Danio rerio: one gene and its partners. The protein of the gene in region 1 purifies or fractionates together with the protein of each later gene. This does not show direct contact. Links are inferred from orthologs where the notes say so. Each region holds a gene or a part of one and is shown in the gene's direction. Other genes may lie near its edges.

The links.
Region 2: the proteins of suv39h1b (region 1) and ehmt1b purify together in Homo sapiens (co-immunoprecipitation; 3 studies listed by BioGRID and IntAct, with this or other methods). This does not show direct contact. The link is inferred for Danio rerio from reciprocal best matches to the Homo sapiens genes SUV39H1 and EHMT1.
Region 3: the proteins of suv39h1b (region 1) and mecom purify together in Homo sapiens (affinity purification with western blotting; 3 studies listed by BioGRID). This does not show direct contact. The link is inferred for Danio rerio from reciprocal best matches to the Homo sapiens genes SUV39H1 and MECOM.

Annotation. Positions count from the first base shown.
Region 1 is NC_133183.1:27,653,173-27,664,339, reverse strand, and holds the start of suv39h1b (histone-lysine N-methyltransferase SUV39H1b), read left to right. Parts: upstream 1-5,000; 5' UTR 5,001-5,410; coding exon 5,411-5,429; intron 5,430-6,938; coding exon 6,939-7,120; exon of another isoform or gene 7,121-8,391; intron 8,392-8,498; exon of another isoform or gene 8,499-9,342; coding exon 9,343-9,996; intron 9,997-11,167. Other genes in the region: proton-transporting V-type ATPase complex assembly regulator TMEM9 isoform 1 precursor, read right to left, coding at 1,115-1,249, 2,261-2,392, 2,470-2,578, 3,754-3,845, 4,494-4,607. UniProt on the Homo sapiens protein: Histone methyltransferase that specifically trimethylates 'Lys-9' of histone H3 using monomethylated H3 'Lys-9' as substrate. Also weakly methylates histone H1 (in vitro).
Region 2 is NC_133196.1:16,044,945-16,055,882, reverse strand, and holds the end of ehmt1b (histone-lysine N-methyltransferase EHMT1), read left to right. Parts: intron 1-1,449; coding exon 1,450-1,536; intron 1,537-1,696; coding exon 1,697-1,775; intron 1,776-4,273; coding exon 4,274-4,449; intron 4,450-6,273; coding exon 6,274-6,457; 3' UTR 6,458-6,491; coding exon of another isoform or gene 6,492-6,541; 3' UTR 6,542-7,935; downstream 7,936-10,938. UniProt on the Homo sapiens protein: Histone methyltransferase that specifically mono- and dimethylates 'Lys-9' of histone H3 (H3K9me1 and H3K9me2, respectively) in euchromatin.
Region 3 is NC_133190.1:38,324,792-38,335,849, reverse strand, and holds the start of mecom (histone-lysine N-methyltransferase MECOM), read left to right. Parts: upstream 1-3,664; 5' UTR 3,665-3,937; coding exon 3,938-3,974; intron 3,975-11,058.

The DNA of each region.
Region 1 (11,167 bases):
GAATTTCTATGAATCAAAGTGTCCAACAAAAGTATCAGTCATTTCAAAAGAAAGTGTATGATATCCCGTTTAACAGAACCAACTAATTAAAGCCTTATATTCTTCACTATTTTGAAGAACATACACATTTTATTAATTAGGTTACTAAAATGTGCAAAATATATGCTTGTGACATGTGCCTTAAATATATAATCAACTGGCAAACACTAATAAATAAATAACAATAATAAATAACGGTAGTGAATGATCACATTATTTGGTGACAAAATAAAACTAAAACGGTTTGAATTGCAGTTTAAACATTCATAAGCAGATTTATATTAGATTATGTACATCTCCACATCAGTGCTCCCAAATTTACATTTAATCTCTTCCATTGCAATGTAGTTTCAATGTAGCAACAACACTTAAATATTCAAGTTTCAGGGTGAAAATATAAAGGTAATCATTGGAATGATGCAAACAAGAGCTTATTTTTTTCATTGATACGTTAAAGCAATAGCTCACCCAGCAAAATAATAATACCCTTGCAGATTTCCACAAATCCAAGAAAATAAAGCAATAATTTCTAAAATCATTAGTTGTACTCCTTATTTATCAATGTGGTCAGGTGGATTAAACCAAAGCTGCCTAAATATAGAGTTTTGGCCATCAGAAATTATATACCTTGCAATAGATGGAGAAAAAATATCTCCTAAACGCTTTGGCTGAAGAATGGAAGTCACATGCATTGCCTGGTCATAATTAACCCTTTTTCGGGCAAAAGAAAAAATATTGTAACTTCATTGACAGATTACAATACAGCACCCCGAGTAACACTCAAGGTATTTTCCATTGAGTATGTCTATTAGTGTCCTATATTTAGTTAAAAATAAATAAATAAATCACATTATTTTTCGGATAAACTATTCTTTTACCAGCTTAATGCTTTCACAAATTCAGTTTAAGAATTTAATATAACAAAGTAAGCCTTGGTACGATTATAAGTCTAATAATATTGTACAAGCAGTAGATTCACTGATAATTATATTGTCATAAAAGCTGAAACTGAAAGACCACCATGCAAGTATTCTCAGACAGTGCAGCCATTTTGTTGTTTTCTCTGTCTAAAGGCTTAGCTGAGCAACTTGTGGCGATCGAACACAGTCTTGCGCTGCTCCTGGACCTGTTTCTTCCAGCGCTGCTGAGCTCCCTCCACCCTCTCAAGCACTGTATTTCCACGAGCACCGTCCACACGTGGCCTCACATCCTGCAGAGTACAATTAATACCCAAATGTTTAGGGTCAAGAGTTAGTCAAGAGGCAACTATTGTCTTCTGCTGCTGTAGCCTATCTGCTTCAATGTTGGTCAGCTACTGCAGACCTCAAACATAAAGATTGTTTATTTGAGTGTCCCCTAGTCTTTATGTCAGCTCAGTGTGCCTGTTCCGTCTGACATTAACAGGAATTGTTTTTTCTATAGAAATCAAGCTTACTGGATATTTTTTATTTTTTAGATCATTCTTTGTCAGTCAGAGAGATGGTTGTGTTAGATTTGTATAAAGGACTGACTATGGAGCTAATCAGTGCTGATATTAAAAACTGTGACATCCACATTGCCTATTTGCATTTTAAATGTGAAGACCGCTGATTGGCCACTCATTGGTTAACAGACATGAATGTGATTGGCTCCAAAGACCCTCTTCACCCACCACTTGCACTGATACACACTGAGTCAATGATCACTGGAGCCAATCACAGTAATATCTGCTGAGCACATGAACACTAAATACAATCAGTAGTGTTTAAGGACCTGCTCAACAGTGCTCAAATGTTTTTAAACTACAGTACTGACTGGTACCGAAGTCGATGCTTTTCATATTCCTATGTGGTATGTGAAAATACCTGTAGAAAATACTTTTCTGAAATACTCAGACCAACAATTATGGCACATTCAAAGTGATTTAAATCATCTTTCTTCCCTAATTTTGATACTCACATTGAACTTCAGCAGATTATACTGACCACATCTACATGCATAAATGCATGAGGTGCAGTCATGTAACTGGCTGATTAGATATTTTGTGATTGACTAATATAGAAATGGTCAATCTTGAAAAAAAGAAATTGATTTTTTTTGCAGAGGATTTGTGGAGAACTTTTATTATTTATATAATATTTTGATTTTGGACAAAAATGTTTTGCTAAAAACTGTATTTTGAGGCCACATAAAAATGTAATTTCTGCGTTTGTGTAACTTTTCTCAAACAATTTCCACATACCTCTGAATCCTCCTCATTCTGCAGTGGCATGGTGTACGGATCATGTTTGCGAATCAGAGGATCAATCAGAAGCAGGAATAGCATGTACAGTAAAAGAGCTCCGACCACTGACAAGTAGATGATAATGGTCACCTGGGAAATTTATCAGAATATTAATACTCCTCAATTTCCTTTAAATGCATGATTAGATAATAAAAGTCTCTTCTCACCTTGATGGTGTTGCTGCTTCGTTCTTCATACTTGCACTCACACAGCAGACAGTAGGCCTCCACATCATGACCAGGCACTGGCATGGGCTCCACCACATGCAGACAGTTACTATAAGACAATACATTCATAAATATAAATGGAAAAAAACTATCAAGATATAATGTACATAATCTATAAAATATATCTTTTACAGACAGTACCAGTCTGTCTAGAGCAGAGATGGCCAAAACTAGGACCCGCAGGCCAAAGTTGGCCCAGAGAGAGAGAGAGAGAGTTTTAATTTTATTGCCATTTCAGCCTCTATGGCTATGTCATGGCAAAAAGAAAATAGATCAAGTTTATCACGTTTTATAAACACCAATTTTCTATAATTATAAAAATATTCGAATAAATAAAAGTATTCAACAGCAATAAATAATGTACAAGGTAAAATACATATATAATAATAATAATAATGATAATATACAAGATAAAAATCTAAAACAGTTTTTTAAGATTTCCTTTTGATAAAGATTCACATTTAAATATTCCACTAGAATATGTTTATCTGTTTGGTTTCTGTTGCAATATAGACATTTTGGGGGTTCTTCTCCTTTAAGTAAATGTTCATGCGTGAGTCTCGTGTGTCCAATGCAGCATCTTCTATAAACAATTTCATCGTGTCTTGACTTGAAAAATAAATTAGATTTTTCCAAAGTTGGCCCATGGTAACCTTTAATTTGGCCTGCCAACAAATCAGAAAAGAGATGGACAAATGATGGGGAAGGTCGGGCTGAATCCCTCAAAAATAGATCGTCTTTTCTAATTTTACGTAACCCTTTGTTTGTTTGCTTAATTGCTGAGCTACAAAAAATGAAATTAAATGTTTCAAGTAAATGTGAATTCATCAGAATATTAAGAGTCATGAAACCCTAAAACACATTTTTTTTTAGATGTTGACAGACATATATGCGTGGCAACAATGCTAAAAACACTATTAGAACACATATTTCACTATTGAAATAAAAAATCCTTGAACTACATTGTGCTATAAATTAGACTGTTTATAGTTTTATTGTAGGTAGTACATTATAAAATGCATTATATTTATATGATATATGATGATTATATGATAAATAAAAAATTTCTATATATTTTAAAATATTATTAAATTAAAAAGTTTCTATGACAACTTTAACGTAATACAGTTTGGTATATTTAGCTTCGGCCCACCACCCTCAATCAAGTTTGGTTTTTGGCCCTTCATAAGAAAAAGTTTGGGCACCCCTGGTCTAGAGTCTTACCAGTCTTTCTGGGTCACATTCTTTTTGTATATATGTCCAGTGATGTTTCTGTAAGGTGGACAGATGCACTTGCAACGCACATCTTCAAAACTCTGTGAAAGCAACATATTATTTTCAGAAAGAGACAAATGATTTCTCTAAAATGAAGAAAGGCACAGTATTTAGCAAGGAATTTGAACTTTTTTTAAATTATACACAATTCATGTTAGAGTTATGCTCATTTATTTATTTTTAGGATAGGTATATAAAGCACATTAGTATAAATATAGGGGGTCAAAAAAACTTTTGTTAAATCATATCATCAACCTCAGTAAGTCCTTCCTCCATATCTCAGACATCTTTTACACAATTTTGCTGATTAACGTGCAAATGTAAACCTATTGACAAACTATTAAGGTTTCTTTTCTGGAGTAGTTTGTATAGGTTAATACTCCAAAGATTTAGTTTTAGTTTTTTTTTGTTATAAAAAAATGCTAAGTGCTAATCCAGTACTGGGTTGCAGCTGGAAGGGCTTCTGCTGTGTAAAACATCTACTGGATAAGTTGGCGGTTCATTCCGCTGTGGGGACCCCTGATAAATAAGGGACTTAAGCCGAAGGAAAATGAATGAAAAATGCTAATTGCATTAATAACATGTCAAAACCTGGTAACATTCGAAATGTTGCCTTTTTTCACGTTTATTTACATATAGAGGTTTTAAAACATAAGAATACAGGTGAAAATAAGCCAGTAAAACTGTACCTTATCTGCAGAAGCAAACGACACCACTTCTATGAGAACAAGAAACGCCAGGAAAATTACTGGTGTCCGGAGACTTTGTGCAATGAAGGACATGACGCCTGTAAAATAATACATTTAAATTATTTGTCGTTTAGCTAAAGGTGATGGTTGTACTGTAAACAATGTACTTATAATCAGTTAGTAAATGGTCTATGCCGCATTAATAAGAGGCTGGCAGACAACCGGTTTCGCCGTTTAGGCCTTCTCCTGTCTATATTGCGTATTTTAGAGGAAATAAAATTACATAAGGAGGTACAAATACATAAAATGTTACACGCAGAAATGCAAAACTAAACGCACAAACATACAGACAGTATTTACATCAACGCATTTGTTGACTTTTCCCGGAAGTTCATGAATGTTTACGTCACACTGTCACGTGACGATGACACTCTACATGTCCCGCCTTCGCATAGATAGATCTATGCCGCCTTCATAACCGGCGAAAAGCAAAATAAAAGACTTTACAGCACATCTCCGTTTTTACTTTGAGTGACGTAAACAGCCTTTTTGTTTCCTAGATGTTAGATTATGAAATTAAAGCCTTAGTTCAAAAAATCGTATTGACTTTTTTGTCTCGCCTGGACACCAAAAATTAACCATTCTAGAGTAATTAAATGGGTAACCGTTAAATGGAAAGCATCTCACAGATAACTAACGTTAGTGTCTTCAAAATATTATCCATATCTGCCTGTAAAATCAGTCAAATTAAGATCTATTTTTCCTCAAAGTTCACACATTTAACGAATGTGGCATTTTGCATAAACTCTTCCCGATTTAAATACTCTGCCACTATTGGTTGCTCAACCCGTCACTCAGACGGGGCGCATCCAACCACCGAGCAGCCTTTAGTTCCATAGTTTTGGCGGCGTGAGACGATGGCGGAAAATTTGAAAGGTAAGAATATGCCGTGTTAATCGTTCACAAACAACAGTTTATTCAATATAAGTCTGATCTATAGCCCGAGTTGGTTAAACGACATGTTTTCTCGGAGGTAACCCGGAAATAAGCCCCGAGTTTTAAAACATTATTTGCTGCAAGTTGCTGATACAAATTCACGGTAGGTCGGTGTTATGGCCAGCGCGCGCTCCTGAAACACGTTTAACAAACTCTTCGACAATCGCTTGTTCCCCTGTCCAGATTGTTTTCTGAAGTTTTGTTAAGTTGTACAATGTTACATATCTCGCATATGCGCAGTTTTAGCATACTTTTCGGTGTTTAGCTAACGTTTTTATTTTCCTTTGCTAAGTAATTCATATTTAAAAGCAAATGAATACACTAAAATACCAATTCAGCCTGTGAATACTCTTAGTTTAGCTTTGTTAAAGTGTTTAAATGGCCCATTGGTTAGCGAAGATGCTCGCGACCAGCCCTGTAAAGATTAACTTACTAATGTAACGTTATTCCATAAAGCATGAAGGAAGCAGATCTGTACATTACTCTTTTGTATTGTTTTTGTAGATCTAACGTTATATATTTTATTAAAGTTATACGAGAAACTATAATCACTATCTTGTTAGGGAGTCTATTCTCACAATATATTTTGATAAGAAGTTTTAATGTTGCTATTACTTTGATAACATGACAATATTGTAAGTTGGTTTAATTGGCTTTGGTTTGTTGTTGGTTTTTAGAGTTTTATGATCAAATATCTTGAAAATGTTTGTAGTCCATGTTATTAGCTACATAATATTATTTGAAGACTATTTCACTTTTAATTAATTAAATACATTTACAAATACACAGTACATTACAATACATTTTTGTAATATTATTTCAAAACAACTTAATAGTTTAAGTAACATAACAAAATATGTACAAAGTAGTGATTACGGTTGTTTCATAAAATTTTTTTTTAAAGAAAATTATATTTTGTCATGTGTGTGTGTGTATGCATGTTAACCAATAATATTATTTTCACATGCTATTTATTTTGACATGTTTCTTTCTGCAAAGTTTTAGTTTACATGTATGTTAGCAACAGCTTAGCCGTGTTTACTAGCGTGCACACATCTGTCATCACCAATTTTACGGTTGTTGCTAGATCGGATATGGTTGCAGCCAAAAGTTAAAAAAATTGTATTTATTATTCATATAATTTCCCATTAATTGCATTTTATTACCATCTACTCCTACCCAAACCCTGAACCCAACCATCACTTTTATGTAAAAACAGTAGTTGTACTGAGTATTAAACATGTAATTTATTAAATTACCCAATAAATTGTATCTTATAACGTCTACTCCAACCCTAAACCCAATCATCACAGTACTGTATAAATATTCTTGTACAGTGTCACAAAAATGAAGCTATATTGATGTGCGTGTCCGCATCTGTAATCTAGATTTTACCCACGTTTTTACCTCTTTTTTTTTCTAAAATTGACATGTAATCATGTTTTATAGCTCAAGTTTGCAGGGTAGCATGCATTGCTACGACAGAGCAGCTGGAGGTGGTCTGTCGAGATGAGGGAGTGGTGTGCGAAGAGCTCGGCATCAGCAGGAACAACCTGTGTGATTATGAAGTGGAATATTTGTGTGACTACAAAAGAAAAGTTATCACAGATGGGAAGAGGCAAACAGTACAGGTGAGCAGAAAACAACACATTTGTAAAGCATTAGGTTTTATTTGAAATCCAAGTTTCAATTTTTTTTATCCTACATAACAATTGAGAAAGGATTTCAGATTTACAATAGGAGGAACTGGCATTCGGAACAAGGGCTGGGCTATATGGCAAAAATGCAGTCTTGATAATTGTTTTCTATATTGAACCGTAACGATATACATTTCTATGTAAGTTGTTAATGCATCCAGATTTAAAAGAGTAGCCCAACAATGACTGAAGCCACAAAAATTAGAGGGTACTTTAAATGGCATAACATAAATTCAGCTGATGAATTGTCGGTGGGCAAAAATTTGCTGCATGTCTAATATCAACAAAGTTCTAGATTTCTGTTGTTGCACATTTCTGCTGTGATTGGAGCGATTCGATTTAATATCATTTATTGGCCCAGCCCTATTCGGAACTGCTATTCATATACTAGTAATAACAAATGTAATTTTTTTTAAAATATACTTTTATTATATGCAAACATATATAATAAATAAGAGCTTAAAACTAATATTTTGCAATATAAATAACATTTAATAAAGTATTCCTAAAACAAATGTCACTGTAATTATTCTTAACACTGATAATACTGTTAAACTAGATGATTCTGTAATAATAGTAATTGTTGTATTTAACAACAGCAAACTTTCGTATTATAGAACATTTATTTTGATGGAAAACCACATAGAAGTGCTATTAAAAGGCTGATCTTTTTACTTATTTATAAAACCTTAAATCTTATTACATACACAATTTAAAAGTGAGTTTACTTACAGCACTTGGGGTTTATTTGAACAAGCTTTTATTCTGTACCAAGCACAGGATGCTTCTTTTTGCCACTGAATAAAAAATATCTCAAAATACAAAACAATTTTTTTTGAAGGATATGGTAATTGCAATTTGATTAACGGTTTAATTTGTAGTCAAGCTTTAGCTCAATAATCTGTAAGCCGTGGCAACAATGCTGTGACAGGCAACATTCTGCGCTGTCTATGACTTTGAAACCAAAATATTCCCATATTACAAGTGCTATTTTTCTTTGATAGTAATTCGTCTATCAATGCTTCTGAAGCAGGAGATGCCATAATGCCACTTGTCAGCAATTTCCTGTTTGTTTTCTTTTTTTTTTATTTTATTGTGGCCATAGTTCGGTTGCGAAATTTAATTTTGATTGGGCAGAACGAAAGTGTGCTCACTCAATTGGCTAGTAAGACAACAAGAGTAACTGTGGATGCAAAGGTAAGCTGGCTGAAAGGGATGTCTGGGTGCTAGGGCTGTGCTAGTAATCGAAATCGCAATTAGTAATGGTAACGTTTCAAATTGTGATTCGATTTCGATAATCGCACAGCCCTAGCAAACAGACATGCCTTTCAGACAGACATTATCTGACATTATCCGGGATGCTGTAGCTCTTGACACATCACAAAGACTTGTTGTGTGCATTGCGATATTTAAAGCAAAACTGTGCTATTACTCCAATCAAACCATCACACTCTGCTCTTACTGGTGGAATATGCAATCAATGAACATTGGCCACAAGGCTGATCTAATTTAGCCATGAAACCTCCAACACCAATTTGGCCAGTGTTTCATTGTCCATCCCCTGTATCTAGCAATTGTAAATATTTGTATAATGTTTTTTTTGCAATGAGTATATATCTCTCATTTCACTCTTAATATCTATTGAACTTGTATAATTTAAGATATAAATATGTGAGTGTGAACTTTGTAACAGCATTGTGTGTGACTCACCAAAGAGCTTAAATTAACTCCACAACAAATCACACATCAAATAATCATTGCGAGGTTTTTTTTGTAATATTTCTCACAAACATTCCGCGAGATCTGCTTCCTTCTTGTCTGTCGCTGTGCCCTGTGTCCGATGCAGCTGAAGCGGAGATTGAGGCACACTCTGACAAGCACGTGGGAGCGGTGGGTGGGGAGAACTAGCATTAAAGGTACAGGCAACAAAAACAGCTACATTATGTTCAGAGCAAAAAATTCCAGTATTCTAAAATGTATAATAAATAATCTGACGAGTGTTTTGAGCTGAAGCTTTACAGACACATTCTGGAGACACAAACTACTTCTCTTAAATCTTGAAATGGCGGTAAAATTTGTGCAATTTAAACAGTAAAAATACTTAAAACAAAACTGTATCCTACTTTCTCTTCCATGTTTTTCCCTCTCTGTCCCAGGAGTTATACCTGGTGAAATGGAAAGGCTACCCAGAATCCAGAAACACATGGGAACCACGGAGGAACCTGAGGTGCGTCAACCTGCTCTCTCAGTTCTGGGAGGATCTGAATGCAGAGATGCAGAGACAGAATAAACGTTCTGCCCCTCGTCGTCTAGACCCCGCCACTGTAACACACCTCACTCAGCGAGCGAAACTCCGGCAGACCCTCAAACAATGGGAGACTCACCTCAACAGCCTGGGCACCCATAAGGGCTACATCTCTGTCCGCAACCAGGTGGATCTGGAGGGTCCACCCAAAAGCTTCACCTACATTAATGACTATAAAGTTGGAGATGGGATCCTGCTGAACGAGGTGTCCGTGGGCTGTGAGTGCACAGACTGTTTGGCCAGCCCTGTGGAGGGTTGCTGTGCCGGAGCGTCCCAGCATAAGTTTGCATACAATGAGTTGGGTCAGGTCCGCATTCGGCCTGGGTTGCCCATTTATGAATGCAACAAGAGGTGCCGCTGTGGGCCTGACTGTTCCAACAGAGTGGTGCAGAGGGGCATCCGGTATTCGCTCTGCATTTTCAGGACGGACAATGGCAGGGGATGGGGAGTGCGGACCATGGAGCGAATTCGCAAGAACACTTTCGTCATGGAGTATGTCGGCGAGGTGAGAGGGATTGAGTTGGGTTGTTAGTTGTAGTCTGGATTAGATGCATGTAAACATTCTATTATTTTTATTTAAGGCCTGTAACTAACGATTAGTTGATAATCCGTAAATCTGTTGATTTATTTTTTCTATTCACTAGATTAAAACATAATTATTTGAACGGTGAAATTTTATTATTGATTTTACCAATTAGGTTGTTTGTTATATTTATTTCTGATTATTTATGCTATTAGTTTGGGGATTGGTTTAAAGTTCCTAATTTCAGCAAAAAGTAACACTTAAAAAAAAAAAACATAATTCTAATTAATTAACAGGGTTTCCGCAGGGTATTAAAATGTCTTCAATCTCTAAAGCTATATTTTAGGCCTTACAAAGTCTTAAATCTACTGAAATGTTGTGTTGCAGGATCTTTTTTAACAGGTCTTAATTTTCCTTTGTTCATGTATCTGACCATTACACCCATACATTCACCGGCAATCCCAATCTCAATAAAACTTTTAACTTTTTATTTAAAAAGAGCAACTAATTACATTCCTCACACTAGCATTTGCTTTAAAGTTCTCCATTTGTTTGCTGCTGAGGATACAATATTTATTTTTTTATTATTATTTGTTATTGTAGACTGAAGCAATTGACAGCTTAGCTATGCTTTGTTCTATTCTTGGTAAGGGTTATAGTTTGTAAATGGATATATTTGAAAATTAATAAAAAAATATAAAATAAATGTATAATAACTAAATTATTATTGTATTATTGAATGTATTGAGTTTTAATAATTTTTAGATAGAGCAAGTGAAAATCTTTTCTAAACGGGATATTTAAAAAAATCCTTTGCAATTAGCCCTGTATGAATCTACAATTTTATTCATAATGGTCTAAAAATGGTGGTGAAACCTGCAGAAACCCTGATCTAATTATGTTATTATATAATAATTATAATGCAACTATTTTTAAATGTTAAATGCCAAATAAAGTGTTATTCAGCTGTTATTTTTTTCACTTAATTGGATAAATTCATTAAAAATAATGTTATTAAAGTTAGCTGATGTTTTCTATACACAGCACACAGTTGATCAATAATTTGTCGATTAATATTGTAGTTATTTACATTTTATTGTATTTAATTTTTGTATTTCAACTCTTCTTCAGTTGAACATTGTCGTTGCTGCCC
Region 2 (10,938 bases), on another chromosome or scaffold:
ATTTATTTGTGTTGATTTAAGCAAACAAATTAAATTTGATAATGTTCAACTTAATTTGTTTGTTTAAATTCAGCCCAAATAAATTGTTTACAACCACTTAATGTAAAAAAATAGTAAATCCAAGGAATCATCTTTGAAAATTTATTTTCAGTGTACTTTATTATTTTAAATAACTGCTGTGAAAATTAAGCATCAGGGTGTGGATAAAATAATTCTCCACTGACATTGTGTAACTGATATTTTTGTTTAAACAACATACTTAGTATGACCTGTAGTTAATAAAATATATCAAGCAATGAGAGGTTCACTTATTATTAAACCATTTGAACATAAACGATGTGAGTTGGTTTAAACCAATTTTTCGTCCAGGATTTTTAGGCAGGTGCTAGATCATTAGGTTGTGGATTTATGGATCAAAGCCATATGTCAAATATTAAAACCATTTTTATACTTAGAATATATTAAATGTAAATAAAGCTTCTAAACTTTTAAAAAATTATCTTTTTGACACAAATTTTGCTCTGTAAAATTTGTATCTTAATTGTGATGTATTAATGTATTTTTTGGTCAGTTATCCACTAGATAACTAAGCTTTTCACTCATCATATAGCACACGTGCTGCTGCTGATGTGACTATAAAAGTGATTTAATTTGATTTGAGATGAACAACAATAACTAATAACGTCTCAGGTGAAGAGATTCAAAACCAATCCGCTATATGCTTTAGCGCTAAAGCACAAACCTTTTTTGTTAAATAAAATAAAATATAGCCTAAATAATAATAAAGTGAAATGATCACAGTTTCAGAGAAACCTATATTAAACTGATTTCATTGTTGATGACAAAATCATGTATTGTCGGTCAGTTTTAATTTAATTAGTTTAATAAAGTAATTTGGTTAGGATTTTACAATGTATTTGTAGCACTGAATGTGTTCCCAGATTACCTCAATATGCCCATTTGTTGTTTAAGCCTCCCCATGACACACTATGTCAGGGGTGGCCAACCCTGTTCCTGGAGAGCCACCTTCCTGCAGATTTCAGTTGCTACCCATATCAAACACACTTGAACCGATTAATTAGGACCTGAACACCACTTGCTAATTACAGGCAGGTGTGTTTGATATGGGTTGCAACTGAAATCTGCAGGAAGGTGGCTCTTCAGGCACAGGGTTGGCCACCCCTGCCCTATGTCAAGGAAATCGTGCCAAAATTATGATAAAATCATGTGATCTGACCTGGGCTTTAGTCTTGATTTTGGCATCTCTTTGTAAAACATTATATTTAAAATGTTTTCATCACTCTCACCATTAAAACATCATTCTGAAATTCATATTTGGTAAATTTGTAACTTTAAATGTAAACAATGGAAAACAAATTGATAAATCAACTATGGCCTACTGATTAAATACTTTAATTAATGATTGTTTTTATTATCATAATCTTTTAGGACAAGACTGCAGTTGTTCAAGACACAGATGATGGGATGGGGTGTCAAGACATTACAGGATATCCCTCAAGGAACATTTGTTTGCGAGTGAGTTTCTTATTTGCTTGCTTCTGAGCTTTATTATGTTCATATGTATATCTTCCTGTGCGTGTGTGTCAGACTTCCTGTGTTTATTTAAGTGTGCCAGTATGGATATGATTGTGGGTTTAGTGTGTTTGCATCCTAATGTCTCATTTCCTTGCAACAGATACGTGGGTGAGATCATCTCTGACGCCGAAGCAGATGTCAGAGAGAATGACTCCTATCTTTTCAGTCTGGACAGCAAGGTATCGCCGTCCTCCCTTTCAAAATCACATTACCCCTGCTGTCTGCTCTCTCAGTGCTGGATTATCTGCATGCCCTCAAGCAAATGTTGTGCATATCCTTTAACTGACCCCTGTCAGCTCAAAGAAATGCTTTATTTCATAATAGCATGATACTTTTGATACTTGCACTTCAGTAGTCTTACATTGACAGTTGATAAAGGGATACAAGCTGGGTTGCACAACCACTTAAAAAAAAAAATTGTGATGTTGATTGATTACCATGCATTAAGTTTCATGTACAGTTGAAGTCAGAATTATTAACCCTCTAGAATTATTAGCCCCTCTTTATCTTTTTGGTTTCCCAATTTCTGCTTGACGGAAAAAAAAATCTTAACACATTACTAAACATAATAGTTTTAATAACTATCTACTAATACCTGATTTCTTTTATCTTTGGGTTGTATTGCGTTCAACCTGTGCTGAGCTGGGATCGAACCAGCTATTCTTTCTATGGGAGTTGGTTGCTCTAAAAAGGAGGCTGAAGATCATAGCCTCTTGCATCTGTAGCTAGAGCACCTTTTGAGGTTCGAGGTGTGAGGTTTACCTGCTTAGCACTTTGCTAGATGGCCTTCATTACGCTCACTCTCATCCCGGACGAGCCCCCACACAAGCAATCCACCTGTCCTACTGCACCCAACCCGTTCTGAGCTGGGATCGAACCGGCGATTATTTGCATGGGAGTCGGTTGCTCTAACAAGGAGGCTAAAGACCATGGCCTCTAGCATCTATAGCACCTTTAGAGGTCAGAGGACTGAGGTTTACCGGGATAACACTTTGCTAGGTTGCCTCCGTTACACACCCTAAACCTCACTTCCATCCTGGACGAGCCTCCACATGTAACTCTCTGGTCCTACTGCACCCAACCCATTCTGAGCTGGGATTGAACTGGTGATTATTTGCATGGGAGTCGGTTGCTATAACAAGGAGGCTAAAGACCGTGGCCTTTAGCGTCTGTTGCTAGAGCACCTTTAGAGATCAGACGAGTGAGGTTTACCTGCATAGCACTTCGCTGGCTGGCCTCTGTTACACTCAGACCCTAAACATCACTCACATCCCGGACAAGCCCCAACATGTAACCCACCAGACAAATTTTTCCAGCCCGCTCTGAGCTAGGATCGAACCGGCAAATTTATGCATGGGAGTCAGTTGCTCTAACATGGAGGCTAAAGACCATGGCCTCTAACATCTGTTGCTAGAGCACCTTTTAAGGTTAGAGGAGTGAGGTTTACCTGCATAGCACTTCGCTAGCTTGTCTTCGTTACACCCCCTAAACCTCACTTCCATCCTGGATGAGCCCCCACGTATAACCCACTGGTCCTACTTCACCCAACCCATTCTGAGCTGAGATCGAACTGGCGATTCTATGCATGGAAGTCGGTTACTCTAACAAGGAGGCTAAAGACTGTGGCCTCTAGCATCTGTCTCTTGAGCGCCTTTTGAGGTCATAGGAGTGAGGTTTACCTGCATAGCACTTCGCTAGCTGGCCTCCGTTACACTTACCACTAAACCTTACTTTCATCCCGGACGAGCCCCCAAATGTAACCCACCGGTTCTCTGCACCCAACTCGCTCTGAGCTGGGATCAAACCAGCAATACTATACATGGGAATCGGTTGCTCTAACAAGGAGGCTAAAGACCATGACCTATAGCATCTGTTGCTAGAGCACTTTGAGAGGTTAGAGGAGTGAGGTTTACCTGCATAGCACTTTGCTAGCTGGCCTCCATTACATATACATCTCAGAATCACTTAAAGAAAGAAATAATGATATTTAACAAGGATGTTTTCAAACAAAATACGCGTTGAGCATATTAGCAGGTCAGTAGATATTAATCAGCATTTTAGAATTCTTTCTGAAGGAGCATGTAGCACTGGAGACTGAACTTATAATTAGAAAAAAACATATTTAGAAGCATATTGTATGGAAATTTCACAGTATTGTTGTATTTTTGGTCAAATAAAAGTAAGCATATGAAACATTAAAGGGACAGTTCACCCAAAACTGAGTATTCGGTCATCATTTACGCTACCCTCATTTGTCATAAATCGATTTGAGATTTTTTTTTCTTTTGTTTTTTTATTTATAAAAGAAGTTAGTTTGAAAAATGTTGGAAACCACTGACTTTCATAGTATTTGTCTTTCTTCTTATGGAAGTCAATGGTCACCAGTTTCTAACATTCTTCAGAATATCTTCTTTTGTGTTTAACAGCAAAAAAATCCAAAAAGTTTTGGAAACACAAGCGTGAGTTAAATTTAATTTTTGTGTGAACTTTCCCCTTTAGACAGTTATAAATACCAACCATACACACATTTTTCTAGATAAAAACACAATTCAAACAGTTTTTCTTAATTATATTACATTTCTTAAACCCTGCTTTATTAAACCTTTCTAAATAAATCTCATATTTCATTCTCTGACATCCCTTGGCAAACACAATCTCAATTTATTTTCTGTCGCAGGTGGGTGACATGTACTGCGTTGATGCTCGTTTCTACGGGAACATCAGCCGGTTCATAAACCATCACTGTGAGCCCAATCTGCTCCCCTGTCGGGTGTTCACCTCTCACCAGGACCTCCGATTTCCTCACATCGCATTCTTCGCCTGCAAGAACATCAGTGCCGGAGATGAACTTGGGTCTGATTTACATCATTGTCTATTTACTTGCTAACTGAATGTGAATTTTGCTTCACAGTATGGGTTAGGGTTTTCTAGTTATCTTGTACTTATAGGCCTTAATATGCTTACTTTTTCATCCTGAGACAGTCTCTCATGTGTATATATATTTTTTAATCATCCCAATCCAAATTATTAAAAAAAAATTTCACATTTACTCAAATATATTTTGCTAGCATAGTCTTTTGCAATGACAAAAAAAGAAAGCAGCTTAAAAACCCCAATATTAGATTGTTGTTGTTGTTGTTATTATAATTATTATTTTTATTATTATTATTATTAGTAGTAGTAGTAGTAGTAGAAGTTGTTGTTGTTGTTTTAGTAGTAGTTGATGTTGTTGTAGTAGTTGATGTTGTTGTAGTAGTAGTAGTTGTTGATGTTGTAGTGGTAGCTGTAGTTGTAATAGTTTGTTGTTGTAGTAGTAGTAGTTGTAGTAGTTGCTGTAGTTGTCGTAATAGCAGTTGTTGTAGTAGTTGTAACAGTAGTTGTTGTTGTAGTAGTTGTTATAGTTGTGATTGTTGTTGTTGTTGTAGTAGTCGTAGTAGTAGATGTAGTAGTTGTTTTCGTAGTTGTTTTCGTAGTTGTAACAGTTGTTGTATTGTAGTAGTAGTTGTAGTAGTTGTTGTAGTAGTTGTAATAGCAGTTGTAGTAGTTGTAACAGTATATGTTGTTGTTGTTGTTGTTGTAGTAGTTATAGATGTTGTAGTAGTTGAAGTTGTAATAGAAATAGTAGTTGTTGTAGTAGATGTTGTAGTAGCTGTAGTAGTAGTAGTTGTTGTTGTAGTTGTAATAGTTATTCTTGTAGGGGTAGTAGTCATAGTAGTAGATGTAGTAGCAGTTGTTGTATTAGTGGTAGTAGTAGTAGTAGTAAATGTTGTTGTAGTAGTAGTAGTTGTAGTAGTTGCTGTAGTTGTCGTAATAGCAGTTGTTGTAGTAGTTGTAACAGTAGTTGTTGTTGTAGTAGTTGTTACAGTAGTGATAATTGTTGTTGTTGTAGTAGCAGTTGTTGTATTAGTGGTAGTAGTAGTAGTAGTAAATGTTGTTGTTGTAGTAGTAGTTATAGTTGTTGTAGTAGTCATAGTAGTAGATGTTGTAGTAGCTGTAGTAGTAGTAGTTGTAGTAGTCGTAGTAGTAGTAGTAGTAGTTGTTGTAGTAGTAGTAGTAGTAGTTGTTGTTGTTGTTGTAAGAGTTATTGTTGTAATTGTAGATGTAGTTGTAGATGTTGTAGTAGGAGGAGTTTTTTTTAATAAATGAGCATGCAATATGGAATGGGGGGCAGGTGGGCGATTGATGTTTTACCCTTCAGCATTTATTATTGCACTGATTGTTTTTAGGCTGTAAGCAGACCATGTTAATCAATGCACTGGAGAAAACCATAAATATAAATAAAATAGCTTGCTGTATTTTCTCAATAAGCAAAATAATGTTTTAATAAGCAAAATAAAAAAAAAGATTTTGTTTAAGACAAAAAAAAAACTGAAAAGAAATACAAAAAGAAGCCAAAGATAGCAAATGATGTCTATTTTGAAGTACAAAATACAGCTATTGATAGTGCAATGTTCTTTTGCACAAATATATGTGTATTTGAATGCAAGTTAGGTTTTAAGTAATAGTCTATGGCTGCTTTTACTTAATGCAAGTGAATTGCAAATAATTTAGTTCATTTTGGCATAATTTTCTTCTAAAGCATACATCACCAGCTCGTTCTTTGAAGAATATTAGTGCCTAAAAGAAAACGTTTATTTGTATTGGAATATATAGTTTTTGATTTTTGTCCCTTCCCAGGTTTGACTATGGCGATCACTTCTGGGACGTAAAGGGGAAGCTGTTCAACTGCAAGTGTGGCTCATCCAAATGCAAGCACTCTGCAGCTGCCATCGCCCAGACACAGGCAGACAGTACACCAGGTGACCAGCAGCCCAGCGCCCTACCCGATACCAGCTCATCCACCCCATCCAGCCCCAGCTAAGCCTTCTCACAACCATGTTTGTCACCTTTGCCAGCCTGCACCTCCCTTCACCAGCACGGGCACATCTCTGCCATCTCTGGGTAGCCACTTGATGCTACACCCACAGTGCCACATTTCGCTCTGGTGGTCCGAAAGCCTATTGTTTGGTATGGTTTAGGGGTTTCAAATCTTGAAGGTGAGAGGTGCACGATTGGACTGGTGTTTGGAGTGTTCTGAATGCACATTTTGTATGGATTTTTTTGTTTTTTATTGTCAGCCTGCCCATTTTGGACCACGATGCATCTTGTAAAGAGGATTTTTGTTTTTTTCTTCTTAAGAATGAGGCTGTTTGAGCCAATTAAGAGACTGTGTGGCACTTGACGTAATTTCGTCGCACAATTCAGACGTCACAATGTGTTCTCCTGCCCTCAAACCGTGTTCTCAGTCATTCTCATAAACGATTTTATAAACAGTTGAGGTGAACGAAAGCTCAAAAAACTCCCAAACGAGTTTGGACATAATGATTTAACTCTTGACGCATCTTTGTTTTATGTTTAGTCTGTTCTTAGTTTTTGTGCATTTGCATAAAATTGTAATTTTCAAAGACCAAATTTTCCCCCTTACAGTTTTTTCTGGTTCTTTCAGTAGGCTGAGGCTAGCAATCATGGGATTTTAGCGCGAACGTTGTGCGCTTCCTCCTTTGATTGGTTCACAGACGCAGGACGTCATGCCAGAGCTACCGAAATCATGAAATGGCCTCTGAATGGGACACTTTTTGGCCTATTTCTTCCTGGTAAAAGCCCGGTTCTTGAGTAAAAATGCGCTTTAATGGTGAATCGCCACTGGAAGTGCAAAGCAATCCTGGACTAGGCTTAATCTGTGTGTGAAAACAAGCCCTATGGGTTATTTCCTGCATGTTACAGGCCTGGATACACATGGCTTCTGTTTAATGCAAATGATGTGCATCCCCCATCAATGCAAATGAAAACTGTCAAATATTTTCTGTGCGTACTTTCGATCACAGCGACGGAGCCTATTAGCATGCTTTTATGAAACGTGCTTTAGGAATAGGACTGGAATGAAATGCGGTCGGTGTAGGAAAACGCAAATGGTGCTGAAAAAAAAGGTTTTTGTTTATTTTTTTATTACTCACTAAGTGAATACAAGTTGTAAAATATGAAGATGCTTTTTTTTCGTTTTTCATTTGTATTTTTAAATTGACCTCTGATTTTTTTTTTCTAACTGTAGTTTTGACATATTTAGCTTGTACCAGTTTTGTTCCATGAGTCCATGTTGATGGTGAAACTATTACGGTCTTTTAAATGTTGATAGTGTAGTCATGTTCTTCGTGCAAACCCAGACATAGAGATACAATACACTGCAAAATGAAAGGGGAGGAAAAAGAAAAAAAAACTGTAACATATTTCTTGACAGTGAAACATGATGCACAATCTTACTGATTGTGTTTTTCTTTTTCAATAAATTTGCTACTAATAAAAGATAAACCTTTCTGTTGATATCATCTGAAAAATGTGAAGGGCTGTGTTGATATATTCTAGTGTTGCAAATGGGGTGGTGGCCAACAAAATGTCATGGAAATTCACAACTTCTTGATTTATTAAAAATTTGTATGATCTCGTTCATACATTTTAGTACGATTTGCTCATCCCCCATTGAGGGGTGGGGTTTGGGGGCATGCCTTCTTTAAAAAAGTCACACGTCTTCATATGAATGAAATCTTCTGTGTGAATTACTGCAGAAGTATTTGTCAGTCGAATTTTGTTTATTTATTTTAAATTCTGTGTACACCACAACTTGCAAATAAGTGGGTGTGGCTTACTCTCATGCAATGAGCTAGGGCTGTGCAATTAATCCAATATCCGATTTCGATTTTGGCTTCAAATGATTATGAAAAACCATTAATCGAGATAAACGATTATTGCATCATATACTGCCCCCTTTCCAGCTGTACACTGTTGTTGCTCTTAAAAGCGGAAAAGACCGCGTGCTTATGCATGTGTGCGGCACGCACACAAAATCAGAACATGCGGCCGGTCAGCATTCACTCTCATTCGCACACCGAGATTAGCAGAGGAGCGCAGACATCTAAAGTCATCGTAACGTGAGCGCTTTAATGGTCAAATAGGTGTCAAAACACAATGTTTAGTGATTATTCATGTTAACCCTCATTCGTGTAATAAACAAACAAGTTGAGGATCAAAAGACACGTGAAAGAGAAACCATTAAAGAGACAGCGAGAAATAATTTTGCTGCCGCCTGTTTTTATCATTAATCAAACAAAACGAGAAAATCCCTGTTCTTGACTGAAGAATTTTTGTAGCTAAAGTGTTTTTCTGACAGTGAAGATGCTTAAATCACAGTTTGTATTATATTTTTTTATTCTTTTCTTTGCAGGGTGGAAAATAACTACATATACAGCTGAAGTCAGAATTATTAGCCCTCCTGAATATTAGCAACCCTTTTACTGCCCAATTTCTGTTTAAATGGAAAGTTTTTTTATTTATTTATTTTACATATTTATGAAAATAATAGTTTTGATATGTCATTTCTAATTACTGATTTCTTTTATCTTTGCTATGATGAAAGTACATAATATTTTACTAGATATTTTTTGAAAATACAAGCATTCAGATTAAAGTGCAATTCAAAGGCTTAATTAGAGTAATTAGGCAAGTCATTGTATAACAGTAGTTTCTTCTGCAGACAATTAAAAAAATATATTGCTTAAGGGGGCTAATAAAATTGACCTAAAAATGGGTTTCAAAATATTTAAACCTGCTTTTATTCTAGCTAAAATAAAACAAATAAGCCTAAGAAAAAAATATTAAAGGAAATACTGTTGAAATTCCTTGCTCTGTTAAACATCATTTGGGAAATATTTATTTATAAAAAATAAAAATTCTCAGGAGCACTAATAATTTTGACTTCAACTGATAACCGTTTTAAATAATCGTGATTACAGGTATGACCAAAATAATCGTGATTATGATTTTTCCCAAAATCGAGCAGCCCTACAATGAGCCCACCATACTGATTTCACCAAGTTGGACATGTTCCTAGATTAACATCTATGTTGATCCTGTAACAACATGCCAATAAGAAATAAGGGATATGTTTACCGTTTATGTTAAGTTTAGGCTTGCAGTTTATGCACTTCTTCATGATTGTTATCCAACTATTATTCTCTTATGATTTTGGAAATAATTTACAGTTATGGTTGTGTTTAGGCATAGAAATAGGTATGGATTACATTTTCGACAAAAATTATGTTCCAGGATCGCATCGTACTTGGCAAAATCATGACGTGAGCCTGAGCTTGATAACAGATGCTCCTGAGACTAAGGGAAGTGCAAGAAGGGTATAAACGGAGGTCAGAGCCAGCTGCAAATGGGTGGTACTTGAGCACTCTTTTGTGGGCTGTACATACTTCCTGCAGTTTTCATTGATTTATTTAATGTCTTGTACATGACATTGAGTCCAAACTATTGTGTTTTATTAACCTCTACACTAGGGTTGCTCAACCCGGCAGAGACATTTCAGACATTTGCTGCAGAGTTTAGCTGCAACACTGATCAGGCACATCTCGACCATCTAAGGCTGCATTCCAGTCCAATTGCCCTTCACTCGCCAACTACCCTCTGACAGTCAAAATCAGGGTATGTATGGTTCACCTAATGAAGTGGAACACACTTCAAAATGGCGAGTGTGTTTCTAAAAGTAACTGGATCGCAGCCTAGGATCTGAAGGAGCACTCCGTAATTACAGAGAGGTGTGTTTGATCAAGATTGCAGCTGAACTCCTCAGGAAGGTAGATCTCTAGGAACAGAGTTGTGGACCCATGGTCTACACCAGGGATGTTCAGTCTCGGTCCTGGAAGGCCGGAGTCCTGCAAAGTTTAGTTCCAACCCCAATCAGACATACCTGGGCTTGCTAATCAAGCTCTTACTAGGCATTCAAGAAACATCCTTGCAGGTGTGTTGAAGCAAGTTGGAGCTAAAATCTGGAGGACTCTGGCCCTCCTGGACCAAGTTTGGTCATCCTTGGTCTACATCAACCACTACCCTGAACCAAACCTCAAAGTAACCTATTATGTTTTATTAAGTCTACACCAGGGGTCGATAGGAGGGCAGGTGTCCTGCAGATTTTAGCTCCAACTTGCCTCAACACACCTGCAAGGATGGCTGCTTCCGAAGTTGCATACTTCCATACTATATAGTATGCTAAAAACAGTATGTGAGCCAAGTAGTATTTCCAAATTTATAGAGTCCGAAAAACAGAGTGCGAGATGGATGACCTGGATGACTTGATACTTCCAGTGAGATTCTAAAGTGTGCATCCAATGCACGGTACACTAGCCCATGATGCTCCATGAGAGAATCATAAGGCGACGAAACTGACGCTGGAAGGTCATGTGATCATGAAAAAATGATGTAGTACGTCTGAGTTCCATTCAAATTGCCCACATTCATACTGTATAGAAA
Region 3 (11,058 bases), on another chromosome or scaffold:
GACAACAATAGGATTGACTATCAAGAGATTTTGTTCTCTGCAAAATAAGATATGACAGGCTAGCCTAAATCATAATGGTGCTGATCTGATGTTCAAAAATAGCCATCTCAATTGGCATAATTAGAAGTTTGCTAATATCTTTCAGTTAGATCACCTTTCACCGTTATGCTATTTTCATAATAGTTGTTAACTGGGATACTTTTAAAACCATTTAGGCCTGACGTGATGTTATTAACGTTGTTTTTTTAAAGCCCTTTTTTCCACTTCCATTGATTTCACAGTAATCATACATTGTTGCTGTTGGACATAGAGCCCCACCGCAGATGTGTGAATACTGCTCGCCAAGCAAAGCCCCAACCTATATATTTTCTGCGGATTATTCGGCAGCTTGCAGGGGATCCACATTTGTAAAGGAATTTGAATAGGAATTTTTTATTGCAATATGTTGTGGTTTTTTCCTCTCGATCAACCCGAATTGTCTTTTGGCGCCCTTTACGCAAACCTTTTAAACAAATACATCATTTGTGATAGATTTGCTAAACTGTAAATGCAGAGTTCCATACAATTCATTCATGTTGTCCCAACACAAATCGATTAAGTTTACTTAACAAATGTAAGTAGGTTGAACAGAAAACAATTAAATTCTCAAAAACAAAACCTCAAGAATTATGTTGTTTCAGCTCATTTAGAATAAGTAGTTAGAGCAAACAGCAAGCTATTTTCTGTGTAATGTGATAAATAATGACGTTGTTTATTTTGTCAATAATTATATTTTACCGAACTTAAGTAACGCTACTGTTTCTATTGCAAGCGTTCATTAAATTTAAAGTGTGTAATTATTACCTTATAATTTAACTTTTGTGAAATCTGAAGTTATTAAAAACACTTTTAAGAAATACTGATTAAGACAGCTCAACCAGCGCACAGATGTGCCAACCAGCGGCTGTAAAGTTAAAAATGCATATGTAATAAAATACGAATTGCATGCACAGTGTTTGCTGCAGCCTGGTCTACCCCCTCTCTCTGCCGTGAAGCCTGTGGTTACGGAATGTTTCCGCTTGTTTGAAGCGGAGAGGCTGGGCAGAGGGAGTCGTTGGCAAAGTCTCCACGGATGAAGAATGCGCCCGTGTTCATTCGGTCTCCCGTTACGCGCACCTCCTCATAGGGGCACTGCTCGCCGGGGCACCGCTGCTTTTTCTGCCTTGTGCAGCCTGCTCCTATTTTTTTCCCTGCGTAATGTTTTCTGCCAAACCAACAAGCATTATGACTTTGCCGAGTTAAATAGTACCGATAAGTGATGCCAATATAATTATATTAATTAAATGACCGGCGTGAATCGGTTTTTACGGTCGTAAAAACTGTATTAAAATAATTCTTACCCTTGCTCAGCACATTTTTCTCTGCATCATTTTTCTTTCCTTTTCACCCTTGTTTATTATTTTGAGTATTGATGTAAAACTTTGCAATATGATTTATTATTATTATTTAATCATTATTATTATTATTCATTATTATTATTACTAATAAAAAAATAATTACAATTCTGTCTGTATTTTTCTTAAATAACGGTGCTTTGGTATCTTTTTGAGTGAAATAATAATATCCAGATTCCTTGATGTTGCACTCAATTACAATCCCAGACATTATATATTAAATAATTCAGCCTATTTCACACTCTCCGATACATCTGCACTGTTTTGATTTCGAGTTTGAGGGGCAGCCGACAGGATGTAGCATTGATAAATATCCCTGTTGATCACTTGATTGATTACCTCGCGCAAAGGTCACGCGGGCGCGCGGTAATTTCCTTGTGCCCGCGGCTCCCATTTCACTTTCAGTCTGGCGCGAGAGCCCCCGACTTTACAAATTATGTTTTTTATTTTAACCCTTCCCTTTCCTCTTTAACATCTCGCCAAACGACCTTCTGTGCTGTACATCAAACGACAGAAGAGGGCAAACCTTTAATTAGGATGGAGTATTAATCACATAAGGTAAACTGCATCTTCTCTGTTTGATGGGGTTGAATTTAAACCCGGCGACAAGCTAATAATTTAGCCGCATTTCCAAAGGGGTTTTGGCCTCAATTAATTTTCAATAATTACAGCCCACGGGGTCTTGACTGATCCTCACACCAGTGCGCCAGCTATACGCCATCTCTGGCCGACGGGGTCAGAGTATCCTCATAAAATATGTCCCGTGGAAAATAAGCACGGTAAGAGATTGCGAATGGATAAAACTCTTCTAATGCCAATGTATGGTTAAGCAAAGTAGAGGTAGCCACAACTGCACTGACAGCCATCCCCCCCCCCCAACCCCCCCCCCCCTTTCTCTCTTGCTCACACTTTTTTTTCTTCTGTTTTTGTTTGTCTTACAGAAGTTGCATGCAGTGCAATGGTGTACTTATTCTTTTGTGCATATATTTTATTTAGTATAAAATAATAACAAATTATGTTTTATATAACTTTTATATATTATATTGTATATATATATATTATATTTTGTGTTTCAATCTAATAAGTTGCATGCATGTATGTGAATAAATATTGGCCCATTTTATTGTTCTTTTGATATGCAAGACAAATTCTTATTTGGGCAATTTAGCTGAGTTTTAGATCAATTCTAATATGGCTTTATTAGATATCAAGATATTTTTAATGATCACTGATATTTGATAATTGCATCATGATTTGTATATTTAAAGAACCATCATTTTCTCCTCTTCTGTTTACTCTTGTGGGTTTTATTCGAGTAAGCTTTAGTAAGTGCTGGTCAGCTCAGATAGTCGTGGGCGGCAGCTGATGTTTGTTCTGCGCCATTCATTTTTATGCAGAGTGATGTCAGATTAATTGGATCCGTTTTAGAAATACTTAGCAATCAATACCGCCAGTGAGGGGCAAGCGACCCTTTTAAAGGTTCATGGGCAAGGTCAACGTGATGTCACGCGCTTCTAATTAATGGACAATTAACTTAATGACCCAAGAGTTTCACAAATTCTCACCCGTCTTGAAAACTAATAATAAATAACATAAAGCTAATAAATTCGTTATACAGGTCCAGGATAATTTATCATATCAGATAAAGGTCTACAGTGCAATACATTTAATTTGAAGATTGCTGGACATCGATGAAAAGGCATCAGAGATCACATTTCATTTCACATAAAAATTAGAGTAGCCTATATTTGTGATAAACAACTCAACTGCTACCTGATAACATTAACACCTTTGTTTTACACACTTGGAAATAATTGATTGTTTTACAGTTTTCATTTTTTAATTCTGTATCAGTGTATTTGGTCATTAACTGGCATTAAATCATAAAGAGAGAGACTAAACTTTACAGATTAATAATTGTCGCATAAAGGAAAAAAATATTCAGCGGGCTGCCCTCGGTACAGACTGCCCACGCGCCTGCTGAGGGAGGGGGAGAGAAGTAAAAGTTTATCATTTTCATAAATTCATAACGATGGTCAAGTCTCAATTAAACAACATAAAACGTTTAATGAAAACGTTTTACAATAGTCATTTACCCGAACAGTGATTAATGCGTCTTCATTTAAAACACAAAAGACCGGGCGCCTTGGACGCTCGAGACTGCTTCATTATAATTAATGTCTCCGGTTCCTCGTGCACCCGGAGGTCGCGAATAGCTCCGTCCCGCGCCCACTGATCTCTGAAGATCTGACACGAGAGGGATCTCGCCGGCTATTGCAACCTGACAAGATCTGTAATACTTGGGTGATGAATCGTTCCAAACTTTTTTGACGATGCTGGCAGCTCGGGGCTGTGCGCATGTGCGAAGGTGTCCAAACTGACAATGCTGGAGAGATAGTGCGTCTGGGATTGAGAATCACAGAGAAAAAGGACAGAGGAAAAAAGAAAAAGGAGGAAAAGATTCGAGAAAAAATCCGACGAACCCACGCCGAAAGACGGGCATCATGAGGTCCAAAGGCAGGGCAAGGAAACTGACCACTGGTAGGTGCAACATCTCCTTTTTAGCCCTTTTCAAACTGCCATCTTGTCCATGTTTATGATGCATAGAAACATTTTAGTCTCTAAACAGTTACAGTCAGCAGAGCCCAGCAATATTACTTGCTTGCGGAGGTTGAGGAAAAGCTAAACGAGAAGCGTCGCTCGCGATCGGACATGGCAAACCTAGATTCGAAACTGGCATCAAAGTTGCGCGTGGCGCGCAAACTTTTTAACTATCGCATGCTGTAATCGCGTTCTCTATTCGAGCCCCGAGCGCCCCGGTGTTCGATAAAAAAACACCTCCGTGCAAGTTTCTACGGCTCCGGTCACATCAATTTGCAGCAGCGACTTTGAAAAGACAGCTTCGCCTATAGTCGACAACAGAAAGCCAGCTGCGGAGGCACGCTTTTAAATGCAAACAGGTAGCTTACCATCTGATGTTACGACAGGCAATCTAATGAACTGCACATATGCTAGATTAACAGGACTGTGATAAAAAAGTGCTTTGAAGTATTTTTGATTTGTGGACATTTCTTTTTTTTTCCCTGTGCAATTGTCGAAAGTGGTTGTGCAACAAGTGATCAAATCCCGTTATGAATTTTTGTTCCGGTATGAACAGCCTGGAGAAATGTTTTTGTTTGTTATGGCCCTCTAAACGGTCGGCTGTAATCTTAGCTTTTGATTACGGGTTGCCTTAGGCGCTTGTTTGAGTTGACGTTCAATGCGTGTGTTCAATGCCACGCCACAACACAAGCTCAAACGCCGAAACTCAACATCAAGTAGTTAGTGGGAAGCTGTTCCCCTCCTCAATAGATTTATTCGGAACGAATGTATTTCGCTCAGGTCTGTGAATAATTCGGCCCCCTCGTGCGCAGTGGGCTGCAGAGTCTGATTTGAGCAATTTTCTTAACTTTTCTTTTTTGTTGCTCTTTTGCAATAAACAACGAAAATCCATGCAATATTTCCATATTTCACAGTGCTTATAGGCATCGGAGCAGAGATAAAAGTTTTTTTAAGCTCAAGTTTCACTATATATACTGTAAACCTGAGAAACTCGAAAGAAAACAAACAACATGCCAACTAAAGTATTTTTTGCAGCCTGCGTATATTATTTTTTAATCTTTTATTATTTATGTTTGTTTTTAGTAATAGACTGACATCTGCTCAAAAACTTTAATGTTGTTTCTATGTGCCAAGGTAACAAAAGAGGCAGTGAAAACAAAGTATAAGATCACTTTGCTCTTGAATTATTGTTTCCTTTCCTGTCGACAGCACTGTGATGGGCTAGACACTGCGCGCACTCCGTCTGGACAGAAACAGGGGTCGTGCGGGTCTTATCCGTTCAATAAACTACCTCTCAAGCCCTATGCCCTGCCATTGTACAATGAGAGGGTTTTTCTGCGAACAGCAGCAACTTGTCAAACATACTCACGTGCACACACACTATCGTCCACACATCTATTCACAAACTTCAATTTCACTTTGGTGTTTTCCAGCTGATGCAGGTAACCCGTCACTTTTTAAGAAATGTGTGAAATTGCATTATACGAAAGAGATTTTAAAACAAACCAACTGTTTGCCATTGATTTATTGATGACATTTATTAATTTACAGTCAGCATCACAACTCCACTATTTTATTCAATATTTAGTAAAATATTTTTTATGTTCCTATCAACTACATTTTTTTTATTATTGCCATGATCTACAATTTAACGTGGTGTCTGCACAACCATATGCAAATTACTTTTTATTATAATATTCTGTTCATAACTTAAATCAGACAAAATGACGTTGCAGGCCGGCACTTTTTTGATGCAAGTCGAGTAAGATTTTTGCCAATATTTTTTAGACCCTCCCACTGACTCCCATCATTATTTAGACTACTATCTAAGAAAATCGGAATGATTATCAGGGGGTGTATTTAAAGATTATTATTTACCCAAGATATAAGAAGAAGATTTCTACCTATTAAGTGAAAGGGAGAGAATGTTCTGGACCGCGCGGGTCCCGCGAGACCCTCGCCTCTCTGGCCTCGCGCCAGCCCAGCACTATGTCAACATTGAATATTTAAATTCCCAGACTCCTCATAACGGGGCCCGTCTGCCGGTAAAAGCGCGTTCAGCGTCAGTCTGAGTAGCTGCGGACTCGGTTTCCTTCAAGGGGGAAAAAAGGAAAAAAGTAATCTCCTCTCCGTGTGGCCTCTGCCGCGCGCGCTCACCGCACATCACTCTGCCTGCACGCGCTCGCACTGATGTGTGTGAGTGCTGGAAAGGTAATAAAAATCGGTCGTTTAGCTGGTGTGTGTGCACGACATGTTTTGTGGATTTGGCCAGCGGTGCCGGACATTTCACCTGCAGGTCCAACAGTCTTAAATTGTCTATAATGTTTTAACACACCGTGCCAAGTGTCCTATATCCCTCAGCATGATGTTGCAGGTTTACTATGAATGGAGTAAAATTACACCTCTTGAACAAGAATAATAACATTGACCTGCCAGAAATCGGACGTGCTGTCAGTTAAAACCCTAGCAATGACATTCGGACGCTTGACACCTTTTATTGCACTTTTAATTATATAGCATTATTCACATATGAAAGCCTGCCAACATGTCTAAATACAGTATTGCAAATGGTTTTATTTCTGATTAAAAATAACGTCTGTTCAAGAAATCAGATATACTGTTAGTTTAATTAGCAAATAAACAAATTGTACTTTTAATACCTAAAAATTATTTATAAGTATATGAGAAATATGAAACATGCGTTAAAGAAGGTAGTGCAGAGTATATATATATAATCATATATTAAATGGATTACTTGCCATGTTTAAAGCAATTAAATATGTTGCCTGGACTGTAGTAGGTAATTTACAGGAAAAATTAATGCATAAATTATTGTAGAGATTGTTTTACAAGTGAGGGAAGCTACTAGAAATATGTAATAATGCAAGTCACGTTTATTATTAATTATTCACAATTTTTAGATGCCCAGCATTACATATAAAGTTCACTCTGAAGAATTAAACTTGATGTTTTTAAAACCGTAATCAAATCAGAAACATTTGGGCCTTAACTATCTGATTCCTCGTTTGATGATAATTATATCTGATAAGCTGCACATGTTCAGCAAGACTTTAAGATTGTCCTTTTGTCCCGTTCTGCGTCTTCGACAGCTCCATCAGTTTCACGCCACGACTTTTGTTTTGACTTTGATGTGACTCGCTTTACCGTGAAAGTGTCCAAACAACGAAAAATCAACTGGACGCTGAAAAAGAAAAGCTCCAAATTTAACAATGTGACATTCCGCGTGAGTGAAGCGCGTGAGAATATAAGCCCCGCGCGCGAGCATTCTCTCCGCCTGTCAGCGCGCCACCACAGTCCGCTTCTTCACAGATACAGGCGCGCGGTTGATTCTGCATTGTGCAATGGGCCGTGCTGCGTCCCGCGTCCGCCGCCGCCCCTCATTATAGAGCCTATTCAAAATGGGGTGAACGGATCGGGCCATTTAAAAAGGTGAGCGCGAAGCGTATTAAACACTCGTTCGTCGTCTGATTCTGAATATCTCGAGAGTTTAGTGGAAATAATGATGTCTGTGAACAGTGAACCACATCTCCTCATAGCAACTTTTTCAGAGGGGGCTGAGGAAAGCAAGAAAACAATTGTTTATGTTGTCTTCACTTCTCAGACTGCGAAAAAATCAAAATCTACAATGTTAACTTCTCAGTTTTTGTATACCTCTCAAGTAAATATTTTCTCTACTTCTCTTTCTCTCCTCTGGCATGATATTCTGCAGAGTTTTAAGTTGAGTTCCTGGAATTGTGATGCTTTCCCTTTGGAGAAATCCTGTGCCTCTTTTCAGACTGTCCACTCTGAAAAGATCAGTGGGCCTAAAACGGAGAACTTTTGTTTCAGAGACAAAGTCAAAGTGACCGATGAGTTAATTACGAGTAAAACAGTGGGCCGTGATGGGGTCAGTTTGAAACAAGCCTAGCTTTTCCCAGGCATTGAGCGTGTGCATCTGCGTAAGATGGAGAGGGCTGCAGACCACTGTGGGTTTTGATCATGATTGATCACACGTTCTCAAAGGATTGATTGATTAGCCAGAAGCCGCTGGGTTTAGCAGAAAGGTCCACTTATGTCCTGGGAAATTATCCTCTGGTCTGTTTGTCTGAGATTTCATCAGAGAGAAAACAGGAGGAGATGAGATGTACGAGGAGATATGTGTAAGATGTATGTTTGATTCTTTGAATTGTGAGTCCCGTATACACACACCAACGTAAGAAGCGATTTCCTTGTATATGTTAGAAGAGGAAGGACTGGATGTAGGTGACAACAACACAGTTACCCTCATCCATCAACACCCTTATAATACCACTACTTTCTCTCCTTTCTTTCTCTCTCTCTCCCTCCCTAATGACTCAACGAGTGTCTGCGTCTGCCCAGAGTGAATTGAAATGGCCGGGTCAACGGTTTATTTATCTTGTGCTCTGATTGGTCAGGGGTCAGGTCATATGGATGTTTATTTGGAAATTTGATTGGTGTGACTGATGGATATGTCGTTTGTGTCCCTCAGGGAATTATGGGGGTTGTTGTTCAGTAAGTTCAGTCACTTTTTATCCCCGAGCGACAGGTCCTGAATCAGTCTACCAATGCTCAGTCTTGACTGCAGTCAGCATTAAGCTTGAGCAGAGCACAGGCAACAGGCCAGGCCAGTAATAAGTCACTGTCAAGCCAACACCCACGGAACCATCAGATGTCACTGTTTGACTGGTCTTGACTCATCTTTACTTGGGCAGGATGCATTAGTCAAGTTAACTAGGATTTGCAGCTCCTAAAAGACAACACTTTTTAGAGAAAAAGTAGCCCATTAGTTAAATGATCCAACCTATAGGTTTCAGATATTTTTAATAAATGAAAATGTGAATTTGTTTGAACATTTACTAAACCTAGTTAAACGATGGCAGTCTGTGTTTCTGCTTTCTATCAAAATGATTGTATTTATGAGATGAGTGCACATGAATGCCGCCACAATATCATAATTACTGGCGAGGAAGCTTGCTATTTTCTTTAAACCCCTTTGTTCGGAGTCTGTGGGCGTTTAATTAAAGAATCATGGTGGAAGCAAGTTTAGGTAATGTTATTAATTAAGTTTTAGATATGAACGGTGACTGTGTACCACCTAGTTTGTATGCATTTTGTGCACTTAAGTTAAAGCATTTAAGTATGAGGAGGAGACTGAATTTGTGTGAGAACTACATCTCCCATCATTCCCTTGATGGAAGAGTATGTACATAAATATTATTTGCTGATGCATTTTATAGCACTGATGCATTTATGTATTTGTTGTGTGTGTGTGTGTGTGTGTGTGTGTGTGTGTGTGTGTGTGTGTGTTTCACTCTTTCTTTCACAAGTTTTAATACTTTATTCTACGTTTGTATTAAGGCTGCACGATATTGGAAAAACTGACATTGTGATATTGTTTTTCTGCGATAAATATTGCGATATGCATACAATTTCACCAGATCATACGGAATAAATAAACAATATTACCAGATGAATTATTTAGAAATAATTTATTAAATTAGATTGAGTGGAAAGATTCTGTAGAGAAGTGAATCATTCATAAAAATGTCAAATACTGAATAAAAAGCAAAAATAAAAGTGAAATAAACAGTGTTTTAGGGTTTTCGGGGCAGTCTAATAGTATTCAGGTTCAGAATTTAAATACTTAAATGTAAAATAACATTGTAAATGTCTTTACTGTATAAATAATCAATAAAATTCTTCTTTATTAATGTTACTTTTCAGAAAATTCCTTGTGCCTGAATACTTTGAACGCTGTCAGGCCTTAAAAAACACATGCAAATGAAAATCTTTTACTCTATTGCAGTTAAGCTCTCTAATAACTACACGATTCTCATGTGTCTGTTTCTCCAGGTCAAATATAATCATAGCTCAACATTGCAGATGCTGACTATTGTGAATGTGGACATTGCAATATCAATGCTGAAACGATATATTGTGCAGCTCTACTTTGTACCTTGAGTCAAAAGGTACGGTTCACCCAAAATGAAAGATTTACCGTTGATTTGCTTCACTCTTGGGCTATGCAGGATGTAGATGACGTTTTTGTCTTTCGTAAAAAAAAAACTTGAAGTTATAAACAAACAACAGTATCATCACTGTAAGTTTGTACTCACACAAACACCTTCATACAACTCATAAGTTTGTTCTCCAGACTGTCGTGAACACGCTCAGGACCTTAAAGCTGGGGAATAATAATATAGTAAATAATATTATGTTTATTCCCCAAACTAATTGTATTATCTGGAGCCACATGTATTAATTTAATTTTGCCTATATAGGTTTCTTTTTAACTCTCAAAGTGTCTCAAAGTTCCCATCGACTACCTTTTTTTGAATAACCCAGGGCAACAGTTTCAGATGAAAAGCTACTATAATGTACTGAAGACCACATGCAGCCTTTTACAGAATGTCTTTTTCTGCTCTTAAAACTCAACAAAGACTGAAAAATAAAGCATCTGAAAGTTCTTTGTCCAAGAATGCTTATGAATATTTAATGAGCAAATCTGTTTGTAATCGGTTGTTTGTTACTAAACCACTGGCCAACGACATCTTTTCATACTGTAAATCATTAAGTCCAGGAACAGCGGTGCAAAACTGGCAAAGCAGGTTTTTTTTTTATAATAACCCAGGGTCAAAAGTGTAAGCATTCAAATTCATTACTAAAAACATGAAACATTGCTTTAGCTGCATTTAAAAGCAGAGTAGAAAAAGACAAGAGATCCTGAGTTAAAGTCACTATCTACTTGCCCTTAAGTGGTAACAAGCCTTGATTAGTTTCTGTCTTCTGTTAAATAAAGGCAAAAAAAACAACAACATTTTTTTAAATAAAGCTAAAAACCTGTAGCCATTGACTTCCATAGCAGGAAAAACAAATACTAGAAGTCAATGGTTACAGTTTTCCATCTTTGTTCAAAATACATTATTTTGAGTTCATTCATTCATTCATTCATTCATTCATTCATTTTCTTGTCGGCTTAGACCCTTTATTCATCCGGGGTCGC